3 linked regions of the Pelodiscus sinensis genome follow. The protein of the gene in region 1 purifies or fractionates together with the protein of each later gene. This does not show direct contact. Links are inferred from orthologs where the notes say so. Each region holds a gene or a part of one and is shown on either strand. Other genes may lie near its edges.

What was found.
Region 2: the proteins of KLC2 (region 1) and KIF5B fractionate together in Homo sapiens (co-fractionation; 7 studies listed by BioGRID and IntAct, with this or other methods). This does not show direct contact. The link is inferred for Pelodiscus sinensis from reciprocal best matches to the Homo sapiens genes KLC2 and KIF5B.
Region 3: the proteins of KLC2 (region 1) and KIF5C purify together in Homo sapiens (affinity purification with western blotting; 3 studies listed by BioGRID and IntAct, with this or other methods). This does not show direct contact. The link is inferred for Pelodiscus sinensis from reciprocal best matches to the Homo sapiens genes KLC2 and KIF5C.

What each region holds. Positions count from the first base shown.
Region 1 is NC_134721.1:32,085,478-32,096,364, forward strand, and holds the start of KLC2 (kinesin light chain 2), read right to left. Parts: upstream 4,716-10,887; 5' UTR 4,586-4,715; intron 4,553-4,585; exon of another isoform or gene 4,426-4,552; intron 4,246-4,425; exon of another isoform or gene 4,221-4,245; intron 4,155-4,220; exon of another isoform or gene 3,947-4,154; intron 988-3,946; 5' UTR 978-987; coding exon 738-977; intron 224-737; coding exon 1-223. UniProt on the Homo sapiens protein: Kinesin is a microtubule-associated force-producing protein that plays a role in organelle transport. The light chain functions in coupling of cargo to the heavy chain or in the modulation of its ATPase activity.
Region 2 is NC_134712.1:229,671,321-229,681,471, forward strand, and holds the start of KIF5B (kinesin-1 heavy chain), read right to left. Parts: upstream 5,233-10,151; 5' UTR 5,014-5,232; coding exon 4,888-5,013; intron 4,737-4,887; exon of another isoform or gene 4,580-4,736; intron 1-4,579. UniProt on the Homo sapiens protein: Microtubule-dependent motor required for normal distribution of mitochondria and lysosomes. Can induce formation of neurite-like membrane protrusions in non-neuronal cells in a ZFYVE27-dependent manner.
Region 3 is NC_134717.1:26,171,528-26,181,894, reverse strand, and holds the start of KIF5C (kinesin heavy chain), read right to left. Parts: upstream 5,233-10,367; 5' UTR 5,136-5,232; coding exon 5,010-5,135; intron 1-5,009. UniProt on the Homo sapiens protein: Microtubule-associated force-producing protein that may play a role in organelle transport. Has ATPase activity. Involved in synaptic transmission. Mediates dendritic trafficking of mRNAs.

The sequences.
Region 1 (10,887 bases):
AGATGTCTTCGTCAAACTTCTTGATCTGGTTCATGAACTCCAGGTGCTTCTTCTCCTCCTCAAGCTGCGCCACGGCCTGCTCGCTGCGCTGCAGCTTCTGCTGGGTCCCCGCCAGCTCGTCCCGCAGCCACTGGTTCTCCTGCACCAGACGCCGCACCTGGGCCCGCAGCTTCTGCTTCTCAGACTCCACCGCACTCAGGTGGCTCGACAGAGCAATGATCACCTGTGGGGAGGTGCAAGATGGGGACCAATCCCCCAGGCAACCACAGCCCTTCCCTGCCCCCCGGCACCCACTGCTTCCCACAGCCACCGCTCTCCCACTGGCCCTGGCCCTCACTGTCCCGTGACCTCCCGACCCCCTGCCAGCCACTGCCTCCCTGTATTCCCCAGCCTCCCCACCCCTCGCCCTAACACCAGCCTCCCTCTCCCTCACAGGAACTCCTGCCCTCCCCACCCTCCAACAGCCCTAACACTATATATACACTGGACAGAGCTGCCCCTGGGCGGGGAGTCACTGTTCCTTTTCAGAGAGAAATTGGACTTGTCTCCAGGGTCACGTTCCCAATGACAGATTTAGGAGCTGAACCTGGGAATCCTGGTTCAAAGCCTCACTCCGGCTCTAACCCACAAGGTCCCACTCCTGTCCCAGAGCTGGGAATAGAACCCAGGTGTCCTGGCTCTTGCTTACAACTGGAACCAATCACATCCCTGAGCTGGGGAGGGAAGCCAGGCCTTACCTGGGCCTCCCCCAGCCCCAGCTCGATGGCCTCCAGTGACTTGCGCAGCAGGCTGGACTTCTCCTGCACAGTGCTGGGCTCATGCTGCTTGTCCAGGCAGTTCCTGGGGTCCAGCAGGGTGGCCAGAATGGAGTGGTGCTCACTGCGCAGCGTTTCCAGCCCTTGGATCACAGCCTTCGTGCCCAGCACGATCTCATCCTGGCTCAGCTTCTCCTCTCGCGGGTACACCATGGTCGCCATGGCTGGGCTCCTGCAGTGGTGGGGAGTGGGCTATAAGACAGGAACCCGGCACAACCAGATACCCTCCCCCCACCTCACAATACACAGTCAGGGTCTCAGCACAGCCACCCCTCAGAATGGGACCCAGAAGTGCTGGCTCCCAACTCTCTCAAACCACTACAACTCACTGCCCTCCTAAAGCTGGACTCGAACCCGCCTTGTGACTCCCCTGCACCCTCAAATGTAACCAGCAGACATCAATCCTTGATGCTGCCCCATGTCCCTTTCATCTCGGGCCTCACTTGGCTGGTGAGACGAGTAGGGGAAGTAGGGGAAAGGGGAGCACAAGGCAATCTAGGGGCACACGGGCTCCCTCATTTCTCTCAAATGACCTCTGATTCCCAGGATGTTATTCCAGCTTCCCCCACCAGGGGGGCCGACAGCTCAAACCCTAGCGACGCAATGCGGTCCAGGCCTCAGGAGTTACTCAGCCAGCGGCTCCCTGCACAGCGCTGGGGCGGGGTGGTAGGACTCCCAATCGTCCACACAGAGATTGTTCTCTGCTGCCCCACCTCCTTTTCCCCTCTGCACCTTGAAACTGCCCCAGCACACCCCACATTCCTGATCCCCACTGCACCTTGAAACTGCCCCAGCGCACCCCACATTCCTGATCCCCACTGCACCTTGAAACTGCCCCAGCGCACCCCACATTCCTGATCCCCACTGCACCCTGAAACTGCCCCAGCACACCCCACATTCCTGATCCCCACTGCACCTTGAAACTGCCCCAGCACACCCCACATTCCTGATCCCCACTGCACCTTGAAACTGCCCCAGCACACCCCACATTCCTGATCCCCACTGCACCTTGAAACTGCCCCAGAACACCCCACATTCCTGATCCCCACTGCACCTTGAAACTGCCCCAGCGCACCCCACATTCCTGATCCCCACTGCACCTTGAAACTGCCCCAGAACACCCCACATTCCTGATCCCCACTGCACCCTGAAACTGCCCCAGCACACCCCACATTCCTGATCCCCACTGCACCTTGAAACTGCCCCAGCGCACCCCACATTCCTGATCCCCACTGCACCTTGAAACTGCCCCAGCGCACCCCACATTCCTGATCCCCACTGCACCTTGAAACTGCCCCAGCGCACCCCACATTCCTGATCCCCACTGCACCTTGAAACTGCCCCAGCGCACCCCACATTCCTGATCCCCACTGCACTTTGAAACTGCCCCAGCGCACCCCACATTCCTGATCCCCACTGCACCTTGAAACTACCCCAGCACACCCCACATTCCTGATCCCCACTGCACCTTGAAACTACCCCAGCACACCCCACATTCCTGATCCCCACTGCACCTTGAAACTGCCCCAGCGCACCCCACATTCCTGATCCCCACTGCACCTTGAAACTACCCCAGCACACCCCACATTCCTGATCCCCACTGCACCTTGAAACTGCCCCAGCGCACCCCACATTCCTGATCCCCACTGCACCTTGAAACTGCCCCAGCACACCCCACATTCCTGATCCCCACTGCACCTTGAAACTACCCCAGCACACCCCACATTCCCGATCCCCACTGCACCTTGAAACTGCCCCAGCACACCCCACATTCCCGACCCCCACTGCACCTTGAAACTGCCCCAGCACACCCCACCTTCCCGACCCCCACTGTACCTTGAAACTGTCCCAGCGCACCCCACATTCCCGACCCCCACTGCACCTTGAAACTGTCCCAGCGCACCCCACATTCCCGACCCCCACTGCACCTTGAAACTGCCCCAGCACACCCCACATTCCCGATCCCCACTGCACCTTGAAACTACCCCAGCACACCCCACATTCCCGATCCCCACTGCACCTTGAAACTACCCCAGCACACCCCACATTCCCGATCACCACTGCACCTTGAAACTGTCCCAGCGCACCCCACATTCCCGACCCCCACTGTACCTTGAAACTGCCCCAGCGCACCCCGCATCCCCGACCCCCACTGCACCTTGAAACTGCCCCAGTGCACCCCGCATCCCCGACCTCCTCTGCACCTTGAAACTGCCCCAGCGCACCCCACATTCCCGACCCCCACTGCACCTTGAAACTGCCCCAGCACACCCCACATTCCCGACCCCCACAGTACCTTGAAACTGCCCCAGCGCACCCCACATTCCCGACCCCCACTGTACCTTGAAACTGTCCCAGCGCACCCCACATTCCCGACCCCCACTGTACCTTGAAACTGCCCCAGTGCACCCCACATTCCTGATCCCCACTGCACCTTGAAACTGTCCCAGTGCACCCCACATTCCTGATCCCCACTGCACCTTGAAACTGCCCCAGCGCACCCCAAAACCTGACCCCCACTGCACCGTGATACAGTCCCAGCGCACCCCACATCCCTGACCCCCACTGTACCTTGAAACTGCCCCAGCACAGCCTGCATCCCCTCACCCCCACTGCACCTTGATACAGTCCTAGCCCACCCTGCATCCCTGACCCCCACTGCACCTTGAAACTGCCCCAGCATTACAGGTGCTGTAACTAGGGGTTGGTGGGGTGCTGCTGCACCCCCAGGCCTGGAGTTGTTTCTATCATACAGAGGGTCTACAGTTCAGCTCTCAGGACCCCCACTGTACAAATTGTTCCAGCTCCCCCGTCCACTGCATCCCGCATCTCTCCCAACCCCTCCAATGCACGGGGAAACAGCCCCAACGCATCCTGCATCTTCCTCCCAGACCGCACCATGTCTCCCCACCCCCGCGCCAAGCGCACTCCGGAGCCCCCCGGCCGGACGAGCTTCCCCTGCGAATCCGACTCGCCCGGCCCTGAGCCTGCCCTCCAGCCTTAAACCCCAGCGCCCCGGGCCCGGCCCCTCCAGCCGCCGCACCCCGTGCGCCCACCCGGGCACGGCCCCTCCAGCCACCGCACCCCGTGCGCCCCTCGCTGCCCCGGTCCCGCCCCGTCCCGTCCTTCACCTGCCCGGCTGCCCAAGTCCGCAATGCGCCCTCCGCGCCACTGGCCCGCCGCTCGCTCCGCCTCCCCTGCAGCCCGAGCGAGCGGAGCGGCGGGATCGGCACCGGCCGGGCAGCCATGGTGCGGGGGGGCCTCTGGGCCAGCCCCCACTCCCCGGCCCAGTAACCCCCCCGCATTGCCCGGGACCGCGCCAGCTGCGTGGGAACCCGCCCCAGTGCCCTCCCCGAGGCCATTCCAGATGTGCACCATACCCCCCCCCCCCCGATCGCAGGTAACCTCTGGGTCCCCTCCGCCCCAGCCAGCTCGGGGGCGGGGCCAGGCCCCATGCCCACTGCCCCGCCAGACACATGCCCCACACCGGGCCACCTCCGCTCAGAGCACTGGGACAGGCCAGATGTGCAGCCCCTTCCCCCCGCCTACGTCAGAGCCCCCTCCCCGCTGTCATATCCCCCAGCCCGCTCCGCCGCGCGAGATGAGCCACCTCCGCAACACGCCCCCCGGGCCCTTCCAGGGCCCCGCCGGACTCGGGCCCCCGCAGCCCTGCAACAAGCCCCCCAGCTCGGCAAAGAGGGGCGGGCCCAGCCCCCCGCTTGACAGTCCCCCCTCCCCCTGAGTCCTCCCGCCCGTGGCCCCGCCCCTACCTGCAGCAGGCCCCGCCCCCTTCTCTCCCTTCTCCCGGTGTCAGTCCCGATCTGCTGCTGCCGCCGGCCCCATCCCGCCCCGCCCCATCGCTACCCGGCAGCCCCTGCGGTAACACCACGTGATTTCCCCTCCCCCCCCTCCCGCCAGCGACCGTAAAGGGGAAGCGGCCTGGGGCTACTTTGTATCCGGCGGGCAGAAACGCCGCACCTTAAAGGGGAGGCGCAGAACGTTCCTGGGAGAGGGTGTGAAAGGGGCGGTGCCGCCCCGGGCCGAGGGGTGCGAAGGATTCTAGCCCCGCCCCTCCCGGCAGCGTGAGGCGGGGCGGGGCTGATGATTCAGGCCGGGGAGGCTGCCCTGGAGCACGGGCCGATGCCCGCGTCACTGGGGCTTCCAGGCGCGGCGGGGAGCCCGGGGATGCCGCACGGGTAACGCGCCGGGTGCTGCCTGCGGGACGCGGCTCAGACTCCAGACAAACGGTGCGGGGCGCTGGGGGTGCTGCAGGGGGCGCAGACCAGCCTCATCCCTTCGGCTCGCCCGGGCCTGTCTCTCCCAGCCCCGGGCCATCGTGCAGGTACCATTCTCCTCCAGCCCGGGCCGCTCTCCGGCTTCTCAACAGAGCCCCCCCCCCCCCCCCCCCGTCCCATTGCCCGGGGACTTCCATGCTGGCTCCAGAAGCAGAAACCAGAACGTGCTGGCCCAGTCCCAAGACTCCCTCCAGCCCAGCTCACTGGGCCAGTGTCCTCCTTGCTCTCTACCCCAGCCCTGCTCCAGCTCTTGGCTCCTTCGCATCAGCAGCTTCCTCCCGGGTGATGCCTGGGTAGACTGGGGTGTGGGGGTCACTCAGAGCACAAGAAAGGCAGGTCCCTTGCTCTCACTGCCAGCGCTGCAGCCTCCAATAAGGAGAGGCCTGAACCCTCCCGCATTTGGATCATGCTCAGTGTGGTCAGAATCCACCCAGAATAGGGCTGGAAAGCTTCTAGGAAGTTTCATGTGCAAACTGGGATTCTTCAAAGGTTCATTATGTAGCCAGATTTGAGTAGATGTTCCAGGGGTGGCAGAAGACAGCTCCCCCACACAAGTCAGTCCCTGGCCATGTTTCACTGTGCAGAGTTCCTCTGCAAGGGTATGTCTGTTAAGCCGAAATAGCGTAATGTGTGTCTAACAGCATGCCTGTTATTTCAAAATGCTTTTGAAATATTGGGCTTCTTATTCCATCTTCCTGTAAACCTCATTGCATGAAGATGAAGGAAGATGCCAGAATAGTGATTTATTTCAAAATTAGGGTTGTGTAGGCAGCGCCAAATTTCAAATTAAGCTACGCAATTTGCATAGCTCAAACTGCATAGCTTATTTCAAGGTACATGCTACTGTGTTGATGTACCCAAGTGATCTAGACCCTCTCCAATCCCATTCCACCCCACATACTCCCATGAAACTGCTCTCACCCAAAGTCTCTACGGACCTCTTAGCCAAAATGCAGAACCATTATTCCTGCCAGATTGTCCTTCAACTAGCAGCCTCCTTCAAAACCATTGGCCATGTACCTCTTCTTGAAATCTTGTTCTCTTCTGTGTTCCATGAATGTCTTCTCCCAGCTCCCCTCCTAACTCTAACCATTCCTTGTGTGTCTTAAGAAGAGACTCCTCACCTCCACCTCTCTAGTTAGCTGTGGGTGTTCCCCAGAGCTCTGCCCTTGGCCCTCTTTGCCTTTGTTCTGGGTAATCTCATCTGCAAACACAAATTCAATTGTCATCTTTGTGCTGCTGACTCATGGATCTACCCCTCTGCTCCTGCCCTGTCTCCTCTGAAATCCTAGCCTGTCTCTGTCATCACCTTGTGACTCTCTAACTCTCCACAGCTAAAACCAAGTTCTTGACTTCCTCCCTGCTGCCTCTTTTCTTAGTCATGGAGAACACGTTACCATCTAATCTGACCTCATGTACAGCACAAACCAGGGACTCACTTGTATTTGACTAATGCATCTTCCAGAAAGGGGTAGTCTGGATTTGTAAAACATCAAGGCTGTGTCTACATTGGCGTGATCTTGTGCAAAAGCGCCTGCTTTTGTGCAAAAACTTGCTGCCTGTCTACACTGACCGCGAGTTCTTGCGCAAGTACACTGACGTTCTAATGTATGAAATCAGTGCTTCTTGTGCAAGAACTCTGATGCTCCTGCTTAGAAATAAGCCCTCTTGCACAACTGTTCTTGTGCAAGAGGCCAGTGTAGACAAGCAACATGAATTTCTTGCACAAGAAAGCCCCATGGTTAAAATGGCCATCAGAGCTTTCTTGCGCAAGAGAGTATCTACACTGGCATGGATGCTTTTGCGCACAAGCACATCTCTTGCACAAACGCACATGCCAGTGTAGACGCTCTCTTCTGGAAGAGTTCTTGCGCAAGATCATGCCAGCGTAGAGAGATTAAGAATCCACCACTCACTCTGTTAATCCCCTGGCTCCCTATTTCTCATATGTTTGGAGTCAGCTTCCAGCCAACGGTTCTTGTTCTGCCTTTCTCTGCTAGGTTAAAGAGCCCTTTTGTGCCCAGTATTTTCTCCCAGGAAAGTGTTTATATACCTGAATCAAGTCATCTCTCAACCAGACAGCTCCCCCAGGCAAGTCATTTGTGTGGCTCTTTTCTATATTCTCTACAATTGTTCAACATCCTTTTTTGAAGTGTGACCCTCAGAACTGGACACATTGTTCCAGGATGGGTGTCACCAATGCCAGATTCCCAGTAAAATCCCCTCCTTGTTCCTATTGGCTCCTCTGTTTATATACCCATGGCTTACACTGGCCTGTACTGCCACAGCAATGGTTTGTCCCCATGACTACATTACCAGCACCCAAGTCATTTGTCTCTCTGACAGCCCCTAATTCACATGCAGGGGGCTAGTGTGATGGTAGAATGAGCAAAGATGCAGGGCCCAAACTGGCAGCCCCTGGGGCAGGCTGGGATTAATGTTGCTCTGGGCTGGGACAAAACAGGCTGCAGCAGCTCCCAAGGCATTTGCCATACATGGCCCACCATGGTGTAGGTGGGCGTGGGTGCCACAGTATGATGGGAGGGGCAGGCTCTCTTGCAGCTGGAGGGGAGTCTCTCACTTTGGCACAGAGGGGAGCACTTTCCCTCAGCTGCAATTCTCCACCACAGCCAAGTTGGAACGATTATCTTGAGTCGCCCCAGGCCATGGAGCTGAGGCCCAGTCAGTCTCACCTCCCTCAGAGCAGCAGCCTCATCACATAGCACCCAGCACATGTGGCTGAAAAATGGCAGCAGCCCTAAGACAATGGGAAGGAGCAAGAGCTGGTAATGGGACCCAGCAGCAGGATGGTGCTTGGATGATACCATGGGGTGGATGTGGGGGAAGGCCAGGCCCTTCACACCAACTGGGGCAGGGGCTCTGGTGCTTGGGGTACTGCAGCCCCCCCCAGCTTGAACAATAACTGCAACCAAGTGCCTGGCATCCATCACATAGAGGGGGTCACACTTTAGATCCATGGCTTCTAGCACCCCAAGAGAAGAGACTTCTTCATTCCAGCTTCCTCCTTGCCTGTCCCAGCAGGGCCAGGAGCCTCTTGTGAGAACATGTCTATTAGGGTGAGACACAATGGCCCATGTCACACAGAGTATGTCTATGCCACAGTGAAACACCCAGGCTACGTCTACATTGGCCCCTTTTCCGGAAGGGGCATGTTAATTTCAGCGATCGTAATAGGGAAATCCGCGGGGGATTTAAATATCTCCCGCGGCATTTAAATAAAAATGTCCGCCGCTTTTTTCCGGCTTTTAGAAAAGCCGGAAAAGAGCATCTACACTGGCCCCGATCCTCCGGAAAAAGCGCCCTTTGAAGTAGGAATAAGATCCTCCGGAAAAGGGCGCTTTTCCCGGAGGATCGGGGCCAGTGTAGACGCTCTTTTCCGGCTTTTCTAAAAGCCGGAAAAAAGCGGCGGACATTTTTATTTAAATGCCGCGGGAGATATTTAAATCCCCCGCGGATTTCCCTATTACGATCGCTGAAATTAACATGCCCCTTCCGGAAAAGGGACCAATGTAGACGTAGCCCCATATCTGGCGCGTGTTAGCTGACTTGGGCTAATGGGGCTCAAGCTGTAAGAGAACCCTGGAGTCCTGGCTTCCAGCTTTGACCCCCCCTTACTCCTTATACCGTGGCCTGGGGAGCCTCTGCAGGGATCTGACTGAACAGACCCAAACTGATTAAATAAACACCTTTTAAGAAATAACACCAGTTTATTTAATGAAAAAACTCCAAAAAAAGGGGGGACAGCTCCCCCAATAAAATGTGTCAAATACAACAGGGGTCTCTCCCCAACCCCAGACAATGATCCCAACATGGACAGTGTGCACAAACCAAATGGGAGAGGCACGCACTTAAACACACCAGGGATTATTTACAGTGCCCTGTGTGCCCAGAGGGCAGGCCTAGGCCTCTTCCATCCCTCATGTACTGGAACAGAGTCCTGCTCGTGCAGCTCCAGCAGAGATACAGAGCTCCCTGGGGCACCACACAGCTGGGGGGGTGTGGGGAGTTATTTGTGGGGGCACAGAGAGATGGGGACCCCACAGGCTCCCATGGGGATTGGGGTGGCCTAGAATGTTCTGACTCTGGCTATGGAAATGTGTGTTGGGATCACATGGGCCTTGGGCAGCTCCCTTCATCCTCATGCTCCTGGGGCAGCCGGCCCAGTCTGAGGGGATACCAGAGCTTTGGAGTGCCTAGCGTGCATGCTTGGGAGACAATCCATGCCCAGCCCCCAGACCTTGCCTAGGTGCCACCTCCAGCCTGCTGCAGCTGCAAGGCTCAGAGCCCAGGGAGCTCTGGGGAGAGCCAGGACTGAACAGGCCACGTTGAAATGCAAAGGTAGAAAGTGCTGAGCAAACATAAGATTCCTCTGTGGCGCTAGCGGTGGCTGCAGCTCTTTGTGCTTGGGAGACTGCAAGAAGTGAGAGATTCCGGCCTAGGGCAGGCCTGAGCATGGATGGGACAGGCTAGGTCTGCAGGGAACAGCTGGGCTGCTGGGGGTGTTGCAGTGGGGCACCTGCCTGCCATGGCGATTTGACTCAGGACTTCTGGCCCCCAAGCACCAGTTGTTTGGAGCTCGCTACCTGAGACCCTCCAAGGAAGTGGCTCAACCAGATGAGCGACCCACTGCACAGGCAGGAACTGCCTTGGACACTTACTCTGTTGCTTGCAGCACTTCTGCGGCAGCCAGTGGCCGTGGCTCAGGGGCCCTTCTGCAGCCTCCCTGTGACGGCAGGGGAAGCAAAGCGACGACACACTCAGCCAGCAAATAACCATCTTCCTGGGGAAGCTGGGCAGGCCTGTGGGTGCCACCTATCCTAGCCCAATGACTTTCCTTTTCACCCAGTCAGGCCAACATGGAGGGCACTAGGAAATTCATGGGAGGTGGCCTGGCAGGTGGTGCGTGTGTGGGGCTCTGCCTGGCTGCCAGTGACAACTGGCTTTATTGCTAGCAGGTGGCTGGAGGAGATCATCTGGCTTCTCATTGCCCTGCTCCTGTCTGAGCCATGAGGGCTGGGTGCCGGTGGGCTCTTTAGGACAGAGTGGGGGTGCCCATTGGCAGAGGCAGTGGCACTCCAGGGGGCAAAGGGAAGAGAGGGAGGCAGTCACTGCCTTCTCTTGATAATTGTAGCACTCAGCTGGGGCCTAGGGTGCCCTGCTCATGGCCTGCGTGGGCCTCACGCTCGGCAAAGGCAGGATCACTGAGCTCAGGACTCAGCAGTGACCAATGGGAGTTATGGGACATGTTCCTGGACCATTCATGCATGGATTGTGGCTCTCTGCCAGACACTCAGGGAGACAAGGGCAGAGCTCCCAGTGAACCTGAGTGGGAAAACCCAACTGTTTAGCAGCTGCCTGACTTGGGGGGGAGGAGGGAAGTGTGAGCAGCTGAGCATAGGATGGGGGAAGGGGGCGGTGAGAAAGCCCAGCCTGCAGAGACAGAGCTGGCTGCTGTGGCACTAGGTTTTGCTGTCCTGGGGCATTGGCTCCATCAGGGATGTGGCAGAGGTGGTGGAGCACTGCTACAACCGGGCCCTGCTGAATTAGCAGTTAGGTCTTGGCAAACTTTTAGGACAGAAAAACAGGAGGGGCCAGGGGGTGGCTATGCACAGCTGGAGGTCCCAGCATGCCCCTGCCTGAGGCCTGGCAAGACAGACTCCCCTCCCCCTTCTCCAAATCCCACTCCCCCACCTCCTACTTCATGCTGCCATCAGAGGCTAGCACAGCAGCAGCAGCATCACCACCTGCCAGGGCTC
Region 2 (10,151 bases), on another chromosome or scaffold:
TTTCATGGGTATTCAACCAGTGAATGTAGTCAGTTTCACTGTTCCCCTCTACAGTCAGTTCATATCTCAATGAAAAACCCTTCTATATTTCAAGGAGATCAAAAAAATCTTTATTCTTTTTGAAGAAATTTAAGGTCTGAATCTGATACACAGAAAACAGCGCACAAGAGGGAGCACTTGCATGTAACCATGTACACTGTCACAATCCCGAGTGCACCACTAGTAGAAACACATGCTGCCATCTGTGGGTATTGTGGGTACTCTGCTAATGAGCTGGGTAGCTGCCCAAGCACTAGGCTTACAGGGAACTAGGAATGTTAAATAGTGGTTAATTGAATAGTCGATTAACCTCATGAATTCCTATTGGTTATTCAACTATTCTATAGTCCCCAGGGATGGGGCAGATGGGAGTGGGGCTGGAGCACACTGGCTAAGGAGCTCCCTGCCACTCCACGCTGCTGCCTCTGCATTAAATTTAAAAACCTGCTCGGTTCGCAGACTGGCTGCCTGACCCTCCTCGCTGCTGGCTCTGAAATGGAGGAAGCAATGTAGGGTGGCAGCAGCTACTGTCTGGGGGAGAGGGGGCTGAGCTCTTGGACCCAGTACAAGCTGGAGCTGAGTCAGGCTGCCTACCTGCCTCCTAATACACTTTAAATATAGAGCCACAGAAGGGGTAGGTCCTGGACTCGGCATGAGCCAGGACCTAGGCCACTGGCCTGGAGGGGGAGGGGGGAGGGAGGGAGGAGAGAGAGAATGCATTTAGTCTGTAGCATCAACCTCTAAGCTTCTGCAACTACACTATTGCATCCCTACAGGGAACACTGTATAACATCTACAATTACAATAAATTGTTTCTCTAAAAGATGCACTTGCCCAGGATAACAAGCATGCCTGTAGTTGTATAGATGCCCAGGAAAAGAGAAAGTTATTGCTACTTTCCCCAGAAAGGAATGGGAAGCCAAGGAATAAGTATGTACAATTAGAGAGGCAGACAAATCCACACAAGAGTAGCTGAGAGCATCTTTGCTCCCAGTCTGACTCCTAACTTATTCCCTGTCTTACCATTTCTCCTGACATTAGGAGCAACTCTTCAAAATGCTACTAGGTATATAATTGACAATCTTCTCCATATTTGAGCATGGGCCTGCAGAGGACTTGTAGTAAATACTATAGGCCAATTGAGAGGATTTAGCTTCTTCTCTAAGGTGAACACTGTGAAGAAGAATCCTAGTTCAACGATTGGCAGGCAATTATCACCATTTAGAATGGTGAAGAGAAGCCAGAAAACAAATGCATGAAATTGATATACCCTGCATGGAGCTAATTGAAGAATGGCTTTAGGAAGGCTATTTCAGGGGTGTGGCTGACAAACTATTTCAAAGAGGCTAGTAGGTGAAGTCTTCAGGCAACTAGGTATCCATGAATTCTGCAAATCCTGACTGACCCATCCTTAGATAGAAATTGAATGGCCATGAAAGGTGCAAAAAGTATTAGTTTTAAATTGTATTTGGTAACTAGCAGGGGGCTTAGGGGAAGGAGGGGGAGGTGGTCAGGGCAGGATGGGGAGCAAGATTCAGGGTGAGGCTCAGACCAGGGAGCTCAGGGCGGAGGCTGGATTATCAGGTCTCAGGGTTTGGGGTGCAGGATTCAGGGTGGCGGGGATAGTCAGACCAGGAGGCTTATGGCCAGGGCTAGGAAGGAGGCCTACCAGAGACTCCTGTGGTAGCAAAAATGGCACTGCTCTGATGGTGGCTCCTGGGATGTGGGGAAGCTGCCCCCCCACCCACCAGTGGTTCCTCAGGAGGGGAGGGGAGGGCTGGGCTGGGCTGCTCTTCCCCAGCTTGTTGGGGGAGGAGGAGGGGAGGGAGGGAGAGGGGGAGAGAAAGCCCCAGCTGGTCACTCTCTTCCTGGTGTGGCCACTTCCCTGTGGGCACTCTGCAGTATAACTGTCCCTACTATCAGTTCCCTCCCTTTCCATGTGATGGAAAACAGATTCCAGCCACAACCAAACCCTGACCTTGTTTTAAGTTAGGATAAGAGGTGCGTAACCCACACACCTTCTGAGTGTGGTGTATGGTCCTACGTAGTGGCACACTCAGGCCACTTATAGACAGAAAAATGGAGGTGTTCTATGGCCTTAGCTGAAAGCCAGCTGGCTTTTATCTCAAGCTGTCATGGCTCATGCAGTAAGCTCCAGATGTCCCAGGTTCAGTTCCACCTTTCAGCATTACAGCTGCATATCAAATTTAGTGATGCTAGCTCTTAGCATTAGGAGTTCTTGAACAAAAAGAACTCTCAAACTAAATTTTATCTCAGAGAATGTTTTGGAATCTTGCCATATCTCAGGAGCAAAGCAAAAATGCTTAATGATGGGAATTCCAACATATTCACTGTAAAGAGCATTTGTTTCCAGTCCCAGTGGTTGGACTAACAGTGAGATAAGACTTAAAAGACTGTCACTGGTATCAAATCCCTATGACTACTGAATGTTTTACATTGGGCCATCACTATTGCAGAAGCATAAGGTTATTAAAGTAGTAATTACAATGCATGTTAATTCCTTACCAACTGTCAACTGTCCCCACCTGGTCCCTAAGGAGAATGACTAATTCACCTCACACTTACTTAGTGAGTGGCTAGCCCAACTCAGATGTTATTTTGCAATCTTACTAGAAAAGCAAACCCCACACTATTGTGATGTTTTCTTCATTACCCAGGAAAAATTCTAGCTTTTGCTTTGGCGGTAAAAAGTTGTCAAGAACAAAACAATCAGCTTTTTTTCCCAGTTTGTAAAAGGCGGCTACCTACACTACATGGGTAATGTTTCCGAGTGTCCACTTCAAATTTTCTCACTTTTATTATATGAAATCTAAACCATGAATCCTCCCCATGAATATCAAGCCCCTGCCCTATTAGCAATGATGCCCTTTGGTCCAAAAGGTAGTTTCCAGAAGGTTAGAGAATTGGGAATTAATAGACAGTTTATCACCTAGAAAATTATATACATCTCAGGAACGGACCTTACAACTTTTGATTTCAGAGGGGACAACATGGTGTTTGTATGAATGGATACTCAGAACCAGTGCTGGCCAAGATGTGGCCCGGAGCCAATTGAGCCCACCTAACATTTTGACCCAGCCCACAGACTGTGTGTGGATGCTTTCTATTTATATTCTGCTGCCTGTGCTACCGAATTTCCAGGCAGAGGCTCACGCGGCAGGATCCTATTTAAAATGGATCACGGCTATAGTGCTACCCCAGCAGGGACTGGAGCAGTGAGCCCTTTAAATAGCCACAGCAAGCCTGGGCAGCTGTCAGGCAATGTGGTAACAGCAGGGCTGGGAACTGTGAGCCCTTTGCAGTGATTTTAATTTAAAGTCTCTGGCCCCAGACAACTCTGGGGAAAAGGTAGTCCCGAGCTCTGTCCCTTCTGCCCCAATCTCTACCCTTGGGGTGAAGCCGGCCTGTGATCACATACCAAAATTCATTAAGTGCCCCCCCCCAGCGAAAATTATTGACCATCCCTGCTCTGGACCAAGCATGAGAGTTAGTGTACTTACTCTGATAGTGACATCAGCTTAGTCATATTCTGCATTTGCTAACAGTCTAGCTAAATGATGAACAAGGCTTCTGTGAAACAATGAGAATTAATGAGGTCTGCAGCACCAATCTGATCTTGAATGGGCCAACAGCTCATTTCAGGAGCATTCTGTTTACTTTTCAGTGGCCTACTCACTACCAACCTGAACTGCATTTATATCAGAAACAGCAAAAGGTTGCATATTCCATTAGCAATGCATTAGTTTTTCCTAAAACTGAATTTAAGAAATACTTTAAAGCCTTGTACTATAAATATGAAATTTTCTAACAAGTTTTATTTACTGTTATGTATTTGTTCCAGTTCCAGGTTAAGCTGCTATGAATAACTGTTTAATTTGGGTTGCTTCAAAAAGATAATAGTGTGCAGAATCTGAAATCTAAACAAACATCAGTAAAGTATATTTTAAAGTTATATTCCTCTCTAAATGCAGAATTCTGATTCCATGTAGCAAATTATTCATCTGAATGTGCAGATTAAGAATGTGTGAAACATGAAAAAAATCTCTCTCTGTGCAACCCATTTATCAACAAATACCAATGAAACCACAGAAGACAGTTACTATAAGTGAAATAGAGAGTTAAACCATAAAGTTAATAACTCATTCTACAGCAGCTGCATTACAAACTGGCACTGCTGGAATTATCTTTTTCAGGATACCAACCAAATCTCTTTGCATCAAGCTTCTATTTTGCAGTAAGCAATTTTTATTAAATTAAAATTATAATTGTGTGTGAAAAAAACAAAGGCATAATTTGACTATTTTATTGGGCAAAGTATTAGCCACTAACCCACTGGTTGGTGGACTGATCACAAAACACACTCAATAGATTTTATTTTGCCAAAACTATTCAGTGGGCAAGTTACTCTGGTAATGTCTCTCTTAGGCATTACCTTAGTTGCCAACCTTAATTAGGTTACATAAAAAAGTCTAGTTCTTTTGAACATTTTCTTCTGTCCCCATTCACCGTATGGTCTTACCTCACTTCAAAACTACCACGTAAAGTCATGCCCAAAGTTTCTAGCGCTGTCAGTAGCTCTACAAGAGGTCTGTGAGGCAGGGAGGTTTTGCTTAGGAGGCAGTTTTATAAGTTCATACACACCGCCCGGCCAACCCCTGCGCCTGTCCTGCTCGTTCTTCTGCCCTGTCACACCCCCACGAAGCTGCTCCCCTTGTCTGGCCCCCTCAGCTCCTCCAGCTCCCCATCCCCTCCTCCGAGCCCTCCCCCTTCGTACCGCGCCCATCCCCAGGGTATCCGGCCCCCTCCCCAGCCCGCCCCGGCGCTCACCGCGATGATGACGGTGTCCTCTCCCTGGAACTTGGTGATGTCTTTGTCGCCGCGGTTCCGCTCGGAGTCGTTGAGGGGCCTGAAGCGACACATCACTTTGATGTTACATTCCGCCGGGTCCGCCATCTTAGGCCAACGCCGCCGCCTCCGGGGCGCTTAGCCCGGCCGCCGCTGCCTCCGCGCCGCTCACTCCGGGGTCCTGCGAGCGGCCGCCGCCGGCAGAGCAGCGCCTCGCTGAGCAAAGGGCAGAGGGGAAGGGCTCCTGCCTGGCCGCCGCTGCCGCCTACTGTTCTCACTTCCTCCCCAATATGGCAGCCATGGCGGCGCCTGCAGCCGGCGAGTCCAGGCCCTGCCCTCCCCTGGCAGAAGCAGCCTCGACAGCAAGGCAGAGAGGGGGTGACGTCACTCGCCGCAGAGAACACCTACCCCTCCCCGCCTCAAATTCACCACGCAGGCGCGCATCGAGGACAGCGCCGCGGCAGCAACCGAAGAGCTGCATTGCGCAAGCGCTCACTGTGTAGGGCGGGAGGAGATGAAAACATGGTCACTGCCGTATGCAAAAATCTCCTGCGCAGGCGCACAAGTTGTCTTTGGGCGCCGCTGTAGCGCAGACGCAGTCATTGGGTGAAGGAGGCCGACGGGGGGAGGCATGTGGAGGGCATGATCGGAAGTCGCAGCAGCAGCGGGGGGCGCCCTTCCTTCAGGGGCAGGGAGTTGGGGAGCAAGCGACAGGGAGGTGCTGCTAGCGGAGCATTCACAAGGCGCTGAGCCTATCAGGGCTACCCTCTCTGTAGCTGAGTCGACCCTCAAAGGCTTCCCCCAGCAGGCACCCTCCTTTCAAAATACACCCCAGGGCTCTGTTTTGTGTCATTGTTTTTAGCATCACAAAATGACATTAAGCCATGGCTTTCAGAGATCACAGATCCACCCAGCTATGCCTCTGCCATCTAAATGAAACCTTGGGCATTGGTGTCACATGAAGAGTCCCTGTGGTTTTCTATCAGTTCAAAATAATTTTCCTCTGAAATTGTGATCGGAAGCCTTAAGTTATGTGGCTTCTGGACAAATTAAATTAATAAACAGCAGGTTTAAAACAAACAAAAGGAAGTTTTTCTTCATGCAGTTCACAGTCAACCTGGGGAACTCCTTGCCAGAGGAAGTGGTGAAGACTAAGACTTTAACAGTGCAGCAGGCACACAAGAATTCTTGGAGCATCTGAACTCGCACAGTTTGGTGGCAGGCATGATAAGGGGCCTACCAGGGCACCATCTTGAAGGCAGGAAGGAGAACAGGGTTCATTCATGGCAGTGGGGCGGGGCAGCAGTTCATGCCAATTCCCTCCTTTTTGTCTGGCTCAACCTGCTTGCCAGAAGAGTATTATTTTTCGCCTTCCTGCAAGAGCCCGCAGGCGGGAGGACTAGAGGAGGGGCCGAAGCCTCCTCAAGAGCTGCAGCCGTGCTTCACCGGGGATGGGCAAATGGAGGTTAGTAGCAAAAGCAGCAGCTAATAGCTTCTCCTCCTTCATCCAGGTTGCCATGTGAGATATCAGTCTTCTCTGAATTACACACAGAGATAAGGAGCTGATGCTGACTAAATGCGGTCAACAACCTAGTTCTTACGCTGCAATGCTTTGTGCTGCAATGCCACCGGACCACTTTCTGGTTGTGTGGCATAGGAACGTGCCCTACCATGAAGTATGGAATAAGGCTGGCCTCCCCAGAAACTTTGTGAGACGGATTAAAGACTTAACTGTACAAGAGTTTTCTGGAGCTGTGCAGGGGAGATTCCCACTCCATCTCCGGACATGTTAAGAATCTGTTCCAGGTTCACCCCACTGTGTAGGCACGGAGCACAGCCAATTGCTTTAATCTGCTGGTAGCAAATAAAAAATGTGAACTCATTGGAAAGGTCCTCCTTTACATCAGTGCCTGACTGTGAGATGTCCCGGGAGGAAGGGATTATCTCTAAGGTTATAAAAAGTTCTTGGTTCTTGGTCACATCAACTACCCACTTGCTTGCTGACCATTCTTCTCCTCCTTGCTGTCTTCCACACTGCTACCCTGATGAGTGTCTTGGGAGGATTCCATGGTCTGGTTTGGGATGCTGATTGGGTCTCCACCAGTGTCAAATACAGCTGCTTGTAGAAGCGACATGTTTGCAGCGATGCCCCAGACCATTCGTTTTCCTCCTTTGTCTTGTGCTCAGCTTCTTTATTTTCACACAGCACTGCTGGGCATCCCTGGTGTATCTTTTCTCCACCATGGAGTTGCATACTTCGCATAGATATCTGTGCTACATATGCTGGTTCAGAGCTTCACGAGAATTGATTCCTCTCCCCATGCATCTCTGAAGTCCAAGATCTCCTTCATGCTCCATGCTGGTACTCATCTGCACAAATGAGAATTGAAGCTCATGAAACTTGAACTCATGGAACTCATGCCCAAGTATGCTGCCTGCTCTGAGATCTGCTTGCCATGCTGTCCACACAGGAAATTAAATTCAGAGTTTCCCAGGGATTTTTCTGTTCACCTGAAGAGTGATAGAGTCACAAGCCCTGACCAGAGCCATTACAGTGGGATGCCTCCAAGAGGCCAAGAACATCTACTTTTACAATGCTGGGACTACACTACAGTAAAGTTGACCATGCAAGGTTGAATTTAGAATTACTCTTCATGAAAAGCAGGAGTACCAAAATTGACTTTAGTAACTCTTAAAGTTGAAGAAACGGGCTTGGCAGTGTGGACTCATTGTTTAGAAAATTTCCTTATGCAACTAAATTCCACCTAAACTCCTAGGCTACGTCTACATTGCTGACTTGCCGGCAGTGCCTATACAAATGAAGCATGAATTAGCATATCACCGTGCTTCATTTGCATAATTTATTTAAGCCTTTTTTGCACAAAACCCCTTTTTGCGCAAGATTCTTATACTTCTCCTAGAATGGCATAAGGATCTTGCTCAAAACAGGGTTTTTGCAAAAAAAAAACCCTGTCCACACTGCTTGTTTTTGTGCAAAAACCCTTTGCACAAAAAGGGTTGAACAAATTATGCAAATGAGGCACGGAGATATGCTAATCTGCGCTTTATTTGCATAGGCACAGCCAGCAAAGCCAGCAGTATAGACAAAGCCCTAGTGTAGACCAGTCCTCAGGAAATGAAGACAGAGTTGTGTGTGAAACAGGTTGTGACTGCCAGATGTGAGAGTAGAGTACAGGTCTGGGGGAGCAGCAGAAACTGGTTAGGGCGCCAGTACTGAGGGACCCAATGAGAGGCATTAACTGAACCTTGCCTGCAAACCTGGAAGTTCCTATTTGCTTGAATGAAATCTGGAGTGGAGCAGGGCTAAAGAGCCTTGACTTCTTCAAGTGGACCGCCCCAGTGACCCAACCAAAAACTGTTGTTCATTTTGAATGGTAACTGTTCAAGCCTCTGTAGCTAGGGTATTTGCAAACTGCGGCTTTCCTGCCAGCCCTTTTCACGTAGCCATGTGTCTGAGTGGTTATGGGGACTCACTAGGGTAATGTCTATAAGGTCTAGTTGCTGAAGAACCTACAATACTTGCCTCAGAATAGCAGTGTGTGTGTGCATGCAACTGGTACCCTAAGGTTTGGTGCACTCAGACACTGAGCAGTCCCAATAATTGTGCTAGCCCATCCTAGGTCATGTAACTGGGAATTATTCTAAATATTACCAATTATCCCAGTGTATCCACAGCTGTTTCTCAGTTTAATACATGACATAATTTGTTAAAATCTAGTTCTGTGTTGTGAGGCAAGTTTGCAGTCTTCTCAATCAAGATCATGTTGTAACAAGCCCATCCTTCTGCTCTAGTTGAAACCTTTGCAGGAACATACCGTCTTAATCAGGACAGTAACAGCTACACCTCCCAGACACGTAAGTACTCTATGCAATAATTATTATTCACAGGGTGTGAATACAGTCAAATGGGGCACAAGGCTTGATGCAGTAACTGTTCCCCTTTGTCAGGGAGTAAGGGGAAAGTGCTGCATTCCTCACTGTGGCTGGGGAGCACAGGGGCAGATGAATCTGGACCTGCCCCAGCTGGAGGACATGCACCCCTCTCCCAGCTGTGCCAACTGGAGCTGCAGCAGTCATGGAGAGGCACTTCTCACCTGGCCCCCAAGCTGCTTCTGTGAGAGGAGTCTGGGGGTAGTCTTCACTCCCCGGGGCAGCCTCATCACCACCCCCACCCCAGAGCAATGGTTTAAATGGAGCATATACATTTCCGTTTTATTTTCCAAAAAGCACAAATAATTGAATTAAGGACCCAAGCAATGCTAGGTAAATCGTCTAGTTTCTAAATAAAAGAGCCTGTTTATGTTTGTTTATAATTTCAGAACTGTGATTAGTTACTTAAACATAAACCATCCACATGTTTCGTTAGTCTTTAAAGTGCTACCATTCTATTTGTTGTTTTTTAAGTTTATCCTGTACAGACTGGGCTATCCCTCTGAAGCTTTTAAACATAAATGTAACTTTAACCATTTATATGGCCATTCATGTGCTTATAAGTAAGCATGTGCTTAAAAACATAGAGGTAAATCATTTGTTACAATGTAAATTCCTTTTCTTCTGCTATCAATTTTCAAGCAAAAGCAAATACACTACTAACAGCAAAATCAACAAGCTTTTCTCTTTATGGTTATTACTCCCAAACCAATCTGATAGTTTTCTTTGATAGGATAACGAGTCTTGTGGATAAGGGAGAAGCAGTAGACGTGGTATACCTAGACTTTACTAAGGCATTCGATATGATCTTGCATGATCTTCTTATCAATAAATTAGGCAACTACACCTTAGGGCTACTATAAGGTGGCTGGCTGGATAATCATTCTCAGAGAGTAGTTATTAACGGTTGACAATCATGCTGGAAGGGAACAACAAGTGGGGTTCTGCAGGAGTCTGTTTTGGGACTGGTTCTGTTCAATATCTTCATCAGTTATTTAGATATCTTCATCAGTTATCATACAGAGTACGCTTATTAAGTTTGTAGATGATACCAAGCTGGGAGGAGTTGCCACTGCTTTGGAGGATAGGGCCATAATTCAAAATGATCTGGACAATCTGGAGAAATGGTCTGGAGAAATGAAGTTTAATAAGGACAAATGCAAAGTACTCTACTTAGGAAGGAACAAGCCTTTTCACACATACAGAATAGGAAGCGATTGTCTATGAAGAAGTACTGCAGAAAGGGATATAGGGGTCATAGTGGACCACAAGCTAAATATGAGCCAACAGTGTGA
Region 3 (10,367 bases), on another chromosome or scaffold:
GTGACCAAGACCAGGGATGAAATCCCACTGTTATTCAAGTCAAAGGAAATTTTGTCACTGACCTCAATGGGGCCAGGATTTTTATTTTATTTATTTTAAGATAAGCAAATCCTGAAAGAGTCATGGGCATGATAAATACACAGCTTTTTACATGACACATAAAAACAAAGTCTTCTCAGAAGAAGTCTTTATTGTATGTGGGGGGAAGGGGCATTGGTTGGATTTTTGTTGTTTTTGTTTTTTAAGAAACAGCAGTAATTACAAATCTTCCTTTCCTGTAGTTGCTGAGAACCTTCAGAAGTGCTATATAACTAACACAGGTTGAACCTCTCCAATCTGGCACCCTTGGGATCTGACCAGTGCCGAACCAGAGAATTTGCTGAACCATGGGAGATCAATATTGTCTAACAGCATTACCAACACTTGCTCTGCTTACTGGGCTCTTAGAAGACATTTAGATGTAAATTAGAGTTAAATAACAGCACAGAACACTGAGCGCCACAACTGGTGGCTGTAAACATGGGACCGCAAGAAACTTGGCCACATCCTTGATAAGTGGACATTCAGCTAACTAAAACCATACCAGACCAAAGACGTCAGACCGGAAGTGTCGGACCAGAGATGTGCAACCTGTAGGAGAGTGTAGCAGGAGGGCATTAGGTTGAATATTTCACAAAAAAAGGCATTTTCCCCACAGTTGTTTGTGAGGAGCCTGAGTTAAGAAAAACTCTATGTAATGGTTCAAAGAGTTCAAGATTAGACATCTTCTCTCCTTTCAGTTATTCATGTTTCAGTCTTGTAACTTTTATGATAACAAAATTCCACTAGTTTTTCAGGCTTCCCATAGAAAAGTTAATCCTGATATTGCTGAAGAAAAAGATGCTGGACTTAAAAAAAGTTGAGGCCTTTAAAAAGCAACAAAAAAGACATCTTTAAATTGTGGTTGATTTATTTCGTTTAGCTTTGCAGTTCCATCTTAATAACTTTATAAGTGTTAAAGAAAATCAGTGCTCTTCTAGAATAAGCAGTATGCTAATAACATTTTCTATCAAAAAACAGTATTTTTCAGTAAGTATTGCTAATTATTGGATCTGTGCATTAAATCTGACATACTAAATAATGAAGATTAATAATATATCCCGAGGAGTTTCAGAGAAGATAGCTGGGTTAGTTTGTTTCAGCAAAAACAATGAAGAGTGTTGTGGCATAACAAATATGTTTGGACATAAGCTATTGGGGGCTGGAATCCACTTCATCAAATGCTTGCCCAAATAATTTTGTTAGTCCAAGGTGACACAGGACTCCTCGTTTTTAGTTATACCTTCTATTAATGGTGTATTACAGTAGTGCCCATTAAGGTCAATGTCTGAAGTGTGAAAGTATTCTTATGCATGTTTATAATTAAAAAACTATACATACATGCAGTCCATCTCAAGCCATAGAACTAGCTGATTTCTCACAGTTATCATGGTAATGAATCCCAATCAGGAGATACAGTTTTTTGTCTGTTTAATGCAACTGACTTACAACCAAGAAAATTAAACCTTATTGGATATCACTGGATCTTCTTCCCAGTCCGTGCTTATGTCACAAGAAGGAGAAAGGAAGAAGATCCTGGATAAGAAAAGCTTTCAAAGATGATAAAGAAAAGGTGCTGAAGATTTTTCCTGCCAAACCAAAAGCTATACATGATGGGGGAAAAAAACAAACAATTTTTACATGTAATGAATTAGAGACTATGACATCCAGTGCATAAGAACTAGAAAATACCTGTTTTTTCCTTTTTGTCTTTGGAGAGTGCAGCTAATGCTCTGAGCACTTTCTTCAGCTGAATCATCTTAAACTGAATGCAATGTTTCCCAAAGGACTACAGAGATGTGCTATACCCAGAATTACAATTTGGACACGATTTCACTTTCATTAAAAAAAAAAACTGACTTTACATTCAACTTATCTGTGAACTGATTTAGTCAAATAGATTTTAATTTTTTTTAAATAATTCTACCTTTGTTTTCATATTGTGTGTGTGTGTGTGTGTGTGTGTGTGTGTGTGTGTGTGTGTGTGTGTGTGTGTTTTAAGATCACCAACATTTGCATGGAAGAAGCTCTTTCTTTCATAAGGTTTCATCTGCCAGTTATTTCTTCTTCATTCTAAACATTCATCGTGACCTGAAGTCATAATCCTCTGCTTGACAGACTAATTGTGGTGGAGATTATTATGATTACAACACAACACAAGGAATGAGAGTTTATCTGCTCAGAAAGCAAATATCCTGTTTTGATGCAATGCCCTCAATAATTAAAAAAAGAGAAATAGACATTGCTATAATGTTTCTCTCAAAACATTTCAGTTTTTCATTAATCATTTAGCAGATCTCATGAAAAAGTGCTTGTCCTTCCAATAAATTCTGACAGCTGTAAGCAGTTGAAATAAGAATCTTGTTAATAACCAGGTAGACATTTATATGGCTTATCATTTATTGATCTTGAGCACTTATCTAAGTATTTGGTTATAAAAATAAACCTTATAATGAGTAGCATAAATAAGGGCTGTGATCACTGCAGGCCAAAACAGAAAACAAAGAATGGGGGGGAGGGTGGTGGGCAGGGAAAATCTAACAAGCCAGACAATAACCAATACAAGCTCAAACAGAAATGGCCTACATCGGGATGGAGAACCTAAGGCCCAGGAGCCAGATGCCAACCCTTGCTTGCCTGGATCCGGCCTCTGAGGCTCGCTGATGCTCCAGATCCCCCGCTGCTTCCCCACAGAGCTAGAGCACACAAAATCTAGTAGCCTGCACTCCTCCTATGCTCTGGTGTGCAAGGAGAACGTGGGGAGTGTCTCTCTCAGTGAGGATTTGGATTTTGCCTTCTCACTTGTCCCCCAACTGATTTTTCTGTGGTTCAGTGGCCCCCCCCAATCCAAAAAAGGTTCCTCTCCCCTGCCGACTTGATGCACTGAATATCACCAAAGCCACATGCTAGCAGACTGACAAAAGGCGCCCATTCCAAAGTAAGGAACCTCCATTGGAAACCTTCAGCTCCAAGAACTCACTGCAAGCATGCCCCAGACAAACAACAGCCAGGATAAGCAAATAATTTGTGGGAGAGTTGGGTCCCGACTCCCAGAATCTACAAGGAGCCAGATAACCACATATCTTTTTAGTGGTCCTGTTTGATATGTTCTAGTGCCGGGCTACCCAACTTTGGAAGCCCTGGGGATCACAATGATACTCACAGCACATGCCAAGGGACGCAACTTAAGTGTGGTTGCATATATATGCAAATTGCTTCTTTCACACTGATGGACATGAATACAAAGATTAAAGGCAAGACTACACAATATAGGGGCCCCATTTAAGTCGGTTCTGCTGATATTAATAAAATGCAATATTTACCTATTTCCACCCACATGACAGCACTTTTAATGAGCAATGACAGTCCAGGAATTTAACTACTAAAATGTATATCAACAGAAGACCATTATATTGACTATTTTTTTGTTTTAGCTACCATCGGCGGGCTGCATGTTGAACCCGCACCGTGCTATGGGCCACAAAAAGCAGGCCACAGGCTGCATCTTGAGTAGCCCTGTTCTACTGAGTGGTTACAGAACCTTTGGCCTTTATAAAAGTTACTTCCCAGTGTGATATGCTTGAGGAACAAGAATATTATCATGTTCAGAAATCAGTTATCACTGGGATCCAGATTAGCGAATGGATGCTTAAATATATATATTTTAGGCTTTGTGGTAGAAAGAAGCACCACAGGTAGACCTAGTTATATTAGGATGAACATTTCATCCCAGACTGGTTTCAATCCATTCTATCAAACTACCACCAACTTACCCGCACAAAGTGATTTTTACTACACTGAGCTCCCAGACAATCGGTCTCAACTATTTGTTCTACTGGAATCTGTAACTATGTTCCAAAAGCATCTTTCCTAGTGTGCAGCTATCAACAACGCATGGCACAGAAGCACTGATGGCTTTAAGCACAAGGCAGATTCAGCAACTACACACTGCAAAACTGTATTTTGTTCCCGCGCCTCCCTTGGCTGGAAGGCAGACAATGCCAACCGGATGCGACAGAACTATCGCCGACCTCGCCTCGACCCCGCGCCCCACAAAGCGCACGGAGCGCCGGGCGCACGCAGACCCGTAGCCAAGGCTCTGCAATCCATTCGAGGGAAGAAACTTTGCCGCGAAAGAGCTGCCGCAACGCGCTCTCCTGCTAGGTGACAGCGAGGGGCTAAGGGGCGCAGCGCACACGGCGCCCGCACATCTCTCCCCGTCCACCTGCCGCCAGGCGGCTTGGCACCCCGCGCGCCGGGGAGAGGCCGAGGCGGAGCACAACCCGGGAGCGCCCCGAGCGCTGCAACTTCTCCCCTAAATTGTTTGTCACCTGCCAATCACGCGGTCCCACCCGAGCCAGGGAGAGCCGAGCATGCCCAGTGAGCGGGATGACATCAGCTTCATCCAGGCTGGGGGCTGGGAGGCTGCAGCCCAAGTGGGAGTCGAGCCGACTCTGCTCGATTCCTGTCCCCCCCCCCCCCCCCAGGTACCCACAAGGGAGCGCAGCAGAGTGAGCGCCCACTGCCGCCCGCCCTAGCCCCGGGCAGGTAACGGGCCTCGTGCCGCGGTGTGCGGAGCAGGCTAGTGCCACCCGCCCCCTCCCCCTGCGAGGAACTTCGCCCCCCCCACCCACCCACCCACCTGGGAGCGGTGCTGGGCCGGGAGGGGAACAATAAGCCCCCAGCCAAAGGAAGGACGCGGGGGGGGGGGGAAGAGATGCCCTCGAAGCGCCCCTGCTCCCGCCTGGGGGAAGCGGGTTCCCCTGCACCCAGCCCCCGGCCCGGAGCGGGAACAAAGGGAGGCGGCAGGGACCGGCCGGGGGTGCCGCGCAGGGGAGGACCGGGGCTTGGTGCCAGGGCTGCAGAGCCGCGGCCGCAGGATGCTCGGTACCGCAGCGGGTACTCAGTACCGCCCCCCCCCCCAGACTTACCCCGATCACCACCGTCTCCTCGCCTTTGAACTTGGGGATGAATTTGTCCCCGCGGAGAATCTCCGCCTCGTTGAGGGGCCGGAACCGGCACATCACCTTGATGCTGCACTCGGCGGGGTCCGCCATCGCGGCGGGGGGCTGGGCGGCGAGCGGCGAGCAGCCTGCCTAGCGCCTCCAGCTCTGCGCCGGGCCGGGCCCGCAGCCTCTTCCCCCTTCCGCGGGCGCGGGGAGCCAGGGAGCGCCGCGGCCAGCGTCCCGCGCCGAGCATCCACCGGCGGAGCCGCGGCTGGGGCGGGGCTGCCCCCCGTGCGGCGCGGCGCGGCTGTAGCAGCAGCAAACACAAAGCGCCGCTGCCTTTGCCCCGGCAGCGCCCGCCGCCCCTCGCCTCCCCCAGAGGGTTGGTGGCTTCGCCGCATTACATCAACCCCTCCCCAGCTCGGGCTCCCGGGGACAGCCGCTAGCCGAGCATGCCGGGAGATGTAGTCCTCGCCGCCGCGCACAGGTGCGGGCGCGGCCCGGCACGGCCCGGGAAAGGAACAAGCCGTGCCCCGCTGTGTTTGGAGGCCCTGACTAAACGCCGGGAGCCGGGGTGGGGCGGGAGGCGCAGATTTGTAAACCGATTACAGCTCCCCCCGCTCGGAGGAAATCAGTGGGTCTTTAGATCAGGGTGAATTGTTTCAAAATATCACAGCTCTTGCGCGCTCTCTCTCTCTCTCCCCCTTCCCCAAAAGTGGTGCATAAGGATGCACATACTTTCTCCATTTTAAGCCCGCTCTATTTTTATTCTGGGTCTTGAATTTCCAATCATAACCTTTTTACTTAATTGCATTAACATTATACCCTCTAAACAAGGATTGAGTGCTCAGAATTATTTTTCATAACTCCTCTCCCTACCTCCTAAAGATTTTCAAAGCTCTAAAAAAAAGTGTGTGTGTGTGTGTGTGTTTAATAATAGTTTTCCTGTTTTTGCTAATTAAATCCTAAAATCAGAAACCCTAGTTATACTTAAATAAAAATGAGACAGGAAAAAAAGGGGAATGGGCCAGATGGTACAGGGCATCCTCACTGTAAGTCCAAAATATGTCCCAAAAAACTTGGACTTATAGCAAAACAACTTAAAGCAGGGAATTTTTCCCCCCACCCTGACTTCCATTTGCACAAATCGGGGTTTTTTGGGGGGAGGAGGGTTGGGGTTTTTTGGTTTTTTGCGCGTGACTTAAGAGCAGGGAATAGGAGGATTTCTAATGCATCTGTTCCTACATGCGTCAATGACTTTAGTGTGAAACAGATCTATACCAGGAAGACATAAAGTAGGGATGTCGTGTACATGGGGCTTATTAATATTATGACTTGGTCTGTGAACTGCAGTTTTAAATGCAGGTGAGAGGCACACACACTCTGTACTTTCGCATGCTTTATTTTTATTCCTTCTTGGTTTGTTGTGATTTTATTATAAAATAAGACTGACTGGGAAGTGTGTGTTCACTCTTTGCATATCTAGCTAAATATTTTAGAAATGGGCATCTGTCGGCCTCTGAGTCTGTTTCTTCAAGAACTCCTCCTGAACATTAAGAGGTAGGACCATTAAGAGGTAGAACATTAAGAGGTTAGGATATGAGGATGCTGCATACCAAACTTACAGTATGGTCAGGGTTTGGTTGTGCCAAGGAAACAGAAAATGCTGGGAATGGTTTCCATAACATGGAAAGGGAAGAGGATAGAGAGGAGAGGTGTGATTCTGACAGTGGCCACTGGCAACAGCGAGGCCAGAGGGAAGAGCTATACTGCAAATAGACGCCTGGGGTCAGCTACACCACCAAGAGTGGGGCAAACTTGGCTGGGACTCCACCCTCTTGCCTGCCACAAGACTGAAGGGGGAGGAGAGAGGAAAAGGTCCCTGGTGGCTGGGGCAGGGGGAGAGAAAAGGCTCCTGGCAGCTCCTAGCCCCTCTTCACCATCCCCAGCAGGGAATCTTCAGGAAAGCCCAGCCTCTTACCCCACCTTGAGCCCTTCCCAGCCATGAGCACCTTATCTCTGGCCCCAGCACAGAGTCTGTACTATACTCTCTCCAACTCCTCTCCCCAAACCTGAAGCTCCCTCCTGCCATTCAAACTTCCCAGCCTCACTCCAGAGCCTAAATCCCAGCCAGAGCACTTGCACTCCAATCTTCTGTCCCAGTCCTGAAACCCTAGTCCCACCCTAGAGCCCCTTCCCCCAAGCTGAATACCAATTTACCAGTTTACCAATCAACTGTAGTAGTTTGATGAGTCCCATAAGTATGTTAACTTCTGTACCAACACAGACATCTTGGTCTCTAGTCTAAAGCATCTTGGAAGTTAATTAGAGGTAAGTACATTCAAGTACAAAATGCACAAAGGGTGGTAGTCGAATGTGTTAGAAGTCCTTTATATGTAACGAAGATTTTGGAACAGAATTTCAAGTATAAGGGATAGCATTGAAGAGGACAAAGATATGACTGGGGAAAACACTCAAGAAGTTGCATAGGAGGAAGGAAGTCTCTCTGCCATTCCAATAGTTTGCCACTATATATTCTACACAAGACTAAGCCATCCAGTATACAGCTGGGAGTGCCCACAACAAATATATTGCAACTATTCTGTCAGTGCAAATAGAGCGTATTAATGTCAACAAAAAGCAAAATACATATGTTTCAAAAACGTTCAGCAGAAATTTAATCCCAGAATGTTTACCATGCTGATTTCTTTATAAAGAATCTGTGTGTGTTTGTGTGATGAAGAATCTAAAACAAAACAAAAAACTAGGAAACTCCTAACACTCTTTTCATCACATGGTATCCATTAACATACATGCACATAGCCTTGAGATCTCCATCACCAGTATGTGAAATTTGTCACAGAGTTTAAAAAAAAAAGTGAAATACTAACACAAAAAGCCTGAAAGCATAGAAGTCAAATCTGCCCTCACATAAGTGCTCACAATTCTGGATTTCAATAAGAACTTCACACACTTTTATAAGGCCAAAATTAATCCCTAAGAAAGACTAAGATGGTGGGAGGCTTAAATGAAATATCTGTGCTAATGTTGGATGCTTGGGTACCTAACTGAGAGAAGCCTGATAAGTCTCATCAGTTGCTGCTTAAACAATACCTGACAGGAAAACATGCTTAGGCAATCAGGCAAGAGGTAAATGAATCTCTGCTTGACAGGAAATGTGTATGGTTACAAAGGGTGGCATTTCAGGCTCTGCTACCTTCAGTCTCAGAAAAGCAAACAAGCTTTACAATAATCACAAGCTAAGCAAATGTCTTATGCTCAGACTGCTCAAAAGAGTTCATCATGGCTGCTGAATGATGTAAGCACGAATCGTTGTTCACTGGCAAGTAGGAGCTGTTACCTAAGCCTACCTGCTGACTCTTAACCTCTGTGGTCAGTTTTCTTCAAACAGAATTCCTACCAGCTTTCATTAATGTGAGGCTGAGTCACACAAACAGGGAGGCAGAGTGTGTTCAACTCTTTTGCATTTCCTTCAAGATTCATCTTCACGTCTCTGTAACCTCACTATGGCACGAGGACATCAACTCAGCAGGCAATTTAGTGTGGGCTCCCATACACTTCTGAAAAAAAAAAAGCAACTAGATCAAAGGTAGTTTACAGAGTGCAGCAGGTGGTAGACTATTACTGTATAGTGTGATTAGTTCCTACTGATTATTAATTAATTAATTAATGTGCCTGCCCCTATTCTTCAAGCTTTTCACTAGCTTCATACTGCATATTTACAAATCATGACCAGTGGGTGAGGAGTCTTGTTAAAGGCTGTTCAGACTAATTTTTATTCCCATTTTTTTTCATTAAGGGACCATTTTCAAGCAAACAGCACCAGCTTTTAGTTTCTCATTAGGAAGACTGTAGTTCCCACCCCATAAGACGACACATTCTTCTGCAAACTTTGTACTATAAAGCTTCCCTCTTACTTTTATATAGTATTGTCACAAAACAGCCAGTCCTTGTTCAGTCTTACTTGAATATATTCTCAACAACATTATTTTCTCCCATATTCCTATTAGGAACAATAATTAGGTAAATAGAATCAGGCTCAATATTTACCCTTGCAGAACTAATATAGTGCTCTACATTGCTCTAGAACATGAAGCCTGCTATATTCTCTGATGAACTGCAAAGACCTTTAGGAGCATTAGACAGAGCCCTATCCTGAAGCATGGGTAAGATCCTGTTCTTTCTCTTTTGTGAGATATGTAAGAGGGTGCTCATATTTATGTTCAGGGCCGTCCTTAAGTTTTATGGAGCCCTACCCAGTACTATTAAACTGATGCCCTTATGGCCAACTGGGGGGGACTGTTTGACAATTTTTTAGAGAGATGTGATTTTATAATCTTCAGCAACATGCTAATGAAATTGTTTAAAATTTGCTTGAAAAATAAGGTCCCGTAGACTAACACAGTAAATCCAGAAACTAACAATAGATACATGGGGTTGGCAATTGCTGATTAAATGGCTTCATTATCACCTGAATGTCTCTTTCACAGTTTCAGTGTCTGCTAATAGGTCTGTCAGGCTTTTCCATGTTTAAGTTAACTAGATCTGCTCTGGTGGAAGGAAAGCCACAGAACACAGACACACCCTAAGAACCTGACCTACGTAGCTGCATATTCTGCATATGGGAAAGGATGGCTCTGCTTATGTTCAATCCAGAAGGACAAAGGTCTAATCTTGGTACTAGAGAGCTGGTCCTATCTCACCGTTCCATAAGAAGTCCAGTCTCCTTTCTGTCACTTGCTGCAGCGAGCTCCAGCTTGGTAAATCTCCTCTCTCCATTCCCAGCCCCCACTCTCCGTGTCCATGCACAGCTCCATTTAGTTAGACTCTGTAGGGGGACCAGGATTTATCCAAATAGATTATCTCACACAAATATGCGTGTCACGAGACTATCCAAGCACATGCCCAACAGTTTTCAGAGTCAAGGCCTAGGCCATCATCAGAAAGGCAGAGCAGCAGTGGCTCTCTGCAGGCAAATAACTGCAGCCACCTTGATAAAAAAAAGTTCACTGGTGAAAGCCTGCTGAGGCCACACGCTTCGACCAGCTTACAGAATCAGGGCAAAAGATTGTTCTGCAAGCTGGGCCAAGCTTAGTAATAGGTCAGTTTCAATTTGTGTTAAGCTTTCTTTTATTGTCCATGGTTATTATGAACATCATTCTCCCCCTTGAACAGATTTCTCTGGGATGATGTCGAGTCTTGCCTGCCGAGAGCCTTTGTAGCTCCAGGTGCAGCTATTATGGGCCCACGCTCTTGCTGCTGCCAGCCCTGCCCTAGCAAAGCACGTAGTCCCACTTGGATATCAATAGGATTGCTTCTATG